Ovis aries: one gene and its partner. The protein of the gene in region 1 interacts with the protein of each later gene in a pairwise test. Links are inferred from orthologs where the notes say so. Each region holds a gene or a part of one and is shown in the gene's direction. Other genes may lie near its edges. The genes, in order: KIFC3 and USP2.

Evidence for each region.
Region 2: the proteins of KIFC3 (region 1) and USP2 interact in binary tests that used the Homo sapiens proteins (3 or more experiments, as listed by UniProt). The two-hybrid records come from large-scale screens. The link is inferred for Ovis aries from reciprocal best matches to the Homo sapiens genes KIFC3 and USP2.

What each region holds. Positions count from the first base shown.
Region 1 is NC_056067.1:25,311,700-25,314,243, reverse strand, and holds the end of KIFC3 (kinesin-like protein KIFC3), read left to right. Parts: intron 1-320; coding exon 321-429; intron 430-914; coding exon of another isoform or gene 915-919; exon of another isoform or gene 920-943; intron 944-1,139; coding exon 1,140-1,165; 3' UTR 1,166-1,807; downstream 1,808-2,544. UniProt on the Homo sapiens protein: Minus-end microtubule-dependent motor protein. Involved in apically targeted transport. Required for zonula adherens maintenance.
Region 2 is NC_056068.1:29,661,673-29,665,486, reverse strand, and holds part of USP2 (ubiquitin carboxyl-terminal hydrolase 2), read left to right. Parts: intron 1-2,056; 5' UTR 2,057-2,097; coding exon 2,098-2,874; intron 2,875-3,094; coding exon 3,095-3,280; intron 3,281-3,814. UniProt on the Homo sapiens protein: Hydrolase that deubiquitinates polyubiquitinated target proteins such as MDM2, MDM4 and CCND1. Isoform 1 and isoform 4 possess both ubiquitin-specific peptidase and isopeptidase activities.

The sequences.
Region 1 (2,544 bases):
GGAAGAGGGGGACATATCAGAGGGGGTGGAGTCAGAACTTGAACCCAAACCCAGTAGTCTCTTCAGTCCAGGCATTTTTGTTGACCTCAGAGGTACCTAGGGGTCATCAGCTGGTTGGAGGTGGGGCAGGGAGGTGCAGGCTGGCACACAGATGCTCAGTAGTAACTAGTTAACTTCTTTATTAATTCCCACCTTCTTCCCATGGTTATTGTATCATCGTCATGTCCATTTTGCAGATGAGAAAACATTTTTTGGGTGGCTGGGGAGGGGAAACACATGGGTGGCGGGGGACCCGCCCACCTGCCCTTCTCTGCCCACAGTGGGAGTCAGCTTGCCAGACGCCACAGCCCTCAGCGCGAGCCCATTCGGCCCCTGGCTCTGGGACCACTAGCCGCCCAGGATCTATCAGGAGGAAGCTGCAGCCCTCAGGTGAGTCTTCAGGGAGTGAGCCAGGGTGGGGAGCCTCCCCCATAGGCTGATCACAGCCACTGGGCTGCCCTTATCGGAGTGGGCTTTAAATTTATAAAACTTCTCCAGACCAGTTTCACAACCTTCCTTGGCCCTGGGAGGTAGTCAGGGCAGACAGTGCTGGGTCCATTTTATTGATGGGAAACTGAAGGCTCCATGGAGACGGAGTGTCAGGAGGGGAAGCCAGCCCTCTGGACTCCAAGCTAGACCGCTGATGTGAGGCCCAGGATGCAATTCTCTGAGGCTGGGTTCATGAAAGACATGGCGTCCCAAGTAGGCCATGGATGGGTGATTAGAATCCGGGGCACCAGCCCCCAGCTTGGCCCACTCACAGAAGGGCCTGCCAAGTGTTTGAGTCTAAAGGGGGTGTGGGCAGCAGAGTCCTGGGGGGTGGGTCCCAGCCCAAGGCAAGCCTACCAGTGAGACACCTGTTGCTTTGATTTCAGCCTGACGGCTGGGGCTGCAGAGTCTCCAGGTGAGTGTGGGGGCCAGCAGCCCAGGGCTGCCCGCCCACCCGCCTGCCTGGCTGCCTCGGGTTGCAGGGCTGTGCTGGGAAGTTGGCTGGGTCTGGGGCTCGCTGCCTGCTGTCTGTGTGCTTCTGCCCGGCTGCCTCCTGCTCTAGGACAGAGGCTGACAGTCCGGGTGCTGACAAAACCTACCTCCTCCCATAGGGAAGTCCAGGCCATTGCCTGTATGATGGACATGCCCACCCTGCGGGACCAGGGACCAGCGACTGGGTCTCCGTGCATGGCTGCCCCGTCCCTGCTGCAGTGTCTGGAGCCTGCAAAGCAGAGGCCAGAGTGGAGGCGCCTCTTTGACCCCGTCTCCCCTTAAGAGATGAGAAACATGTTCAGAAGGAAACCATGTCTCTTGGCTGTGGCTCTGGGTGCAAGTGGCACAAGCTGGAAGGGCAGGCCCAGGTCATCAGTGTGCGCCCTTGTGGGGAGGGCAAGTGTGTTGTGTGGGAGGGTGGGCCCTCGCCTGGGCTGGCCCAACCCTTCCCAGCCCGCAGGGCCCCTCCAGAAGGCACAGGAACTGTGGGAGCTGGGCGGTTGGTGGGCAGCCCTGTCCTGCTCTTCTCTGGAGGTAGAGCATCTCGCCAGGCGTGTATATAGTGTTCCTACATGTACACAGGAGGCCCGCTCCTGCCGCGGGTCGGGCTTTATTTATGGCCGGCAGGAGGCCAGTGGGTGGGGATCTTGCTGCTCCCCTCTTCTGCCTGGCACCAGGCTGTCTCCCTGCTCACTAGCCTCTTGACATTTTCCTCCCTCTGAAATCCTATTTAAGAACTTTTGGAAGCTTAGCCATTTTTACTTATTAAAATAACCTTTTTACACAAGCACTGTCTGGAAGAGTTGGTCTTGTGAGTCCCTGATCAGACGCAGGGAGCAGGCTGTTGGCATGTTGTGGGTGGTTCCCCAGTGCTGGCTTGTCACCCAAGTCAGGATCCAGTGTCCTCCCCTCCATCCTTATCATGACTGACCCATACGAGTACTGGCACCGTCACCTAATAAACGGGAAACTCAAGCTCTCCAAAGGCTTGCCAAAAACCTAGCCACAGTGGTCCCTATACCACTGCCTGCCCTCTGCCCTGGCCTTGCCCCCTTAGGTGAATGGCCATAGGTAAGTGCCACCCCCCTCCTCCCTCTGCCTACAGCTCCCAACCATTGGTGCCATGCCCACCAGGCTCCCCACCATGGAAGTGGTGCTGGTCTGCACCTGGTCCCAGCCTTGGGGAAACATGTGCAGGGCTCTGTGGGGTCCTCGCACCAAATGAGCAGGAAGCTGCCTCAGGAGGAGAAGCAGGGTGACTTCTGGGTCAGGGGACCTGTTCTGGCCAGCCAGCACTGGGGGCTCCTGCAGGGAGGGGCAACTGTTCAGAGCATGGGGTAGCTGCCTTTCCAGTCCCATCCCTGGAGGCCTCTGGGGGTGGAGGGAGGGTGGTGAGCTCTGGATCAGCCACCGCATTAAGTGGCCCCACTGCAAGGCTGGGGTCCCAGCCCCCTGCAGGGTACAGCTGCTGACTGGCCTCAGACGCATCCACTGGACAGGTGGGAGTGTGGCTGAAACAGACGG
Region 2 (3,814 bases), on another chromosome or scaffold:
GAATCATAATGATGATTACTATACTGATTTTGCAGCTGAGGAAATTGGGGCTCAGAGAGATTCAGTGACTAGGGCAGAATCACCAAGCTAGTCAGCCACGGAGCAAGACTCCTCTGAGAGTCCTGCATGGCTCTGCAACCCCACCACCCCAGGAGCACCCAAGAGCCCCTGTTGACCCTCAAGGAAAATGAGAGATCTTACCTACCCCTCCTTTGCCCTCCAGCTCCTTCAGAGATAAAGCCTGCAGGTTTACAGTGGTGGAGGGACTCTGGGGGCCGCCATGTGAGCCTAAACTTGATGGGGGTGGTGAGTTGAGGTAAAGCAGGAAGGGCACTGGGCTGGAAATCTGAGAGACATGGACACGAGTCCTCGCTCTGCTAGCATGTGGCCCTGGGCGAGTCAGTGGCACTTTTCCACTTGTACAACGGAGAACATGAGATGGATGACCCTTCATCGAGGGGACACTCTCATACGCCCCCGGCGGGGGTGGTGGATGTCCTAACCAGTCTTAATTGGCTAGAGCATGCACTTGGACACAGCTGACTCCAAGTTCCTGAAAAACAGCTTGGGCAGACCTTACTATTTAGTCTGAGTAACAGTTGGAGGATGTTGCTACAAGTCCTTTGTAGCAACAATTAAAGCAAGCTTGACAGTGCGGGCCGGTGACAGGTGCAGTGCACCTAACTGATGATCACCCTTGTTTCAGCAGAGGGGAAATCTGGGCTAGATTCCTAAATCTGATGTCCCCTTGGTGAGGCCTGGCTGTAGCTGTTTCACGTCGGTCACTTTGGTGTCCTCTATGTAAAGCGTGGTCATGGCTGTCCACTCCCTAGGCCCGCGGGAAGGTTCAATTGGATGATGGATGTGGAAATGTCCCCTTTCACTTGTGGTAAAATATATATGACGTGAAACTAAAAAAAAAAAAAAAAAGTCGACCCATTCGGCCTTTGAAAACTCAATTCAGAGGTTCTGTGTTCCTTCAGCAGATCCACCCCAGCTGCAAGGACTGCGGGTGGAAATAGGAGCGCTGCCTGCAGTGCAGGATTTTAGCCTCTAGGGGGCCCCCTTTGCACAAGTCATTATCACCATCGGTTTGCTGTGGGTACTAATAGGGGAAGCCCTGGGAGGCCACAGGGCCCTAACTCCACTTAGAAACGAAGACTTAGGTCAGTGCAGAGGGAGGGCTCTACCTCACAAGGATCCCCCACCGCAGCAGGTGGCCATGTCCAGGGAAGCACTCTGGGATTGGGTCTGGAGACTGAGATCAAGCGTTCCTCTCAGCCACCCATCACCACCACCACCCACACCTAGGCCCCTTTCCTCGTCTCATGGGCCTCCTGTTCCTCATCAGAGATCTGGCTAAATGATCCTCACGTCATGCTGTCTAAACAGTGTAAGATTCCCAAAAGATTGCTCCCAAAGAGGGGAGCAATCTGAACTCTTGGAATATCCAGCAGTTTTTAATCCAGGGGGTGAGGGCGGTGGCATCCCTCATCTCAGGGGTGCCTGCAGAAAGAAGCCAAGGAGAGGAAGCAGATGGGGTTTGGGCTGGAATACTCTTGGGGGCTTTTTTGTTTTTGTTTATTCAGCTGCATCAGGTGTTAGTTGGGGCACGGGAGATCCCAGACCAGAGATCGAGCCCAGGGCCCTTGCATTGGGGGTGTGGAGTCCTAGCCACTGTACCACCGGGGAAGTCCCTGGAGTACTATTTGTTGCTTGAAGGGCTGCAGTGGCGCGGTCCCCGCTCTCAGGCTGGGGGCTTTGAGGGGAGCGTCTAGTCCAAGCTGTGCTGAGACTGATTGCCCGTGTGGTTTATGAAAGCCTCTCAGCTCTGGGGCTCTCCCTGAGGTGTGAATGCCTGGGTGCGTGGAGACCTGCACACTGGTGCACACGCACATGCAGAGGTGTGTCCCAGTGGTGGGCCAGTGGCTTTCCTGGAAACAGACAAGTGTGGCCCCTGGTTGAGGTCAAGCCACTGGGGAATGGAGAGCAGGCACAGTGGGAGCAGCCTGACCCCCGGCAGGGCCTTCTGACAACTGCTTTCCTTGTCTTTCAGCCCATGAGGCTCCCAGTCCCCACCGAGTGCCGCCCTGAAGGATGTCCCAGCTCTCCTCCACTCTGAAGCGCTACACAGAATCGGCCCGTTATACAGATGCGCCTTTCACCAAACCGAGCTATGGCACCTACACTCCCTCTTCCTATGGAACCAACCTGGCTGCCTCCTTCCTGGAGAAGGAGAAGCTGGGTTTCAAGCCCAGCCCCCCTACCAGCTATCTCACCCGTCCCCGTACCTATGGCCCCCCCTCCATCCTGGACTATGACAGAGGCCGCCCCCTGCTGAGACCTGACATCATCGGGGGTGGTAAACGGGCCGAGAGCCAGACTCGGGGCAGCGAGCGGCCTTCAGGGAGTGGACTCAGTGGGGGCAGTGGATTCCCTTATGGAGTGACCACCAGCTCCCTCAGCTACCTGCCTGTCAGTGCCCGCGACCAGGGGGTGACCCTGACCCAGAAGAAGTCAAACAGTCAATCAGACCTGGCCCGGGATTTCTCCAGCCTCCGGACCTCAGATAGCTACCGGCTGGACTCTGGGAACCTGGGCCGCAGCCCCATGCTGGCCCGAACTCGCAAGGAGCTGTGCGCCCTGCAGGGCCTATACCAGGCAGCCAGCCGCTCCGAGTACCTGGCCGACTACCTGGAGAATTATGGGCGCAAGGCCAGCGCACCTCAGGTGCCCACCCCGACCCCTCCCTCACGAGCCCCCGAAGTCCTCAGCCCCACCTACCGACCCAGTGGCCGTTACAGTCTGTGGGAGAAGGGCAAGGGCCAGGCCCTTGTGTCCAGCCGCTCCAGCTCCCCAGGGCGAGACACCATGGTGAGTTTGCCCCTTGGGGACCTGGTGATGGGCTGGGGAGGAAGCCACTGATGAGGAAAGGGCTTCCACCTTGACAATCGCAGACAGAGGTTTTCCTTCCCAGGCCTCACAGTGGCTGTTCCTATAGCCCAGGTGGGGACGAACCAGGGAAGTCATCTCAGCACACCTGGTGCCCTAGTGGCTTGATGTCTTTGCTCAGGGGCTCTCCCACTCTCCCCAGGAAATGCACTTCACGACCTGTGCACTCGACGATGGCCCTGCAGTGCTCTTGGAAATGCCCAGCTACCCTCACATACACTGCGACTCTTATCCTCTGCTTTCCCACCCAACATGCCTGGGGCCCCTGCAGGCCCTGCCCCATCCTGGACTGCATGCTGAGATCCCCAGACCACCAGTGTGCCCTGTGGTAAGAGAGGCCCCCTGGCCCTGACTGCATCTCTCCTCCTGCTCAGGCTTTTATCTCTGAGTCCAGAGACATGGCTTAACGTTGGAACGTAAGACATCAGGAGAAGAGGATCTCTCCTCTGACGGATGCTGCCTGGCTGCGGACCAGGGGTCTAGACAGGAGTAGTTCTCGTGTGTCTTTGGAGAAAATGGTGCAGAACTTCTTGTCTAGGGCTTTAGTCTCTTTCTACTCCAATGTGCCTGGGATCAAATAAGGGAAGAGGCTCTGCTGGAGACCTGAGTGAGGGCTGGCATGACCCACCCACATCTGATCCCTGACACACCTCTCCTGGGGCACTGACTACAAATCTTCCTTTTGTGTAGTCATCAGTTTACCCATTAGGTGGTGAGCTTTCAGAGGAGGAGAAAGAAATCAAATCTCCAGATCCCTCACTGTGTACCTAGCTCAGTGTAGCATTCGGCTCACCTGCGTATCACATGGATGGTTGAATGGGTGGATGGACGGGGGAGTTGAATAGATATATGGGGGAATGGA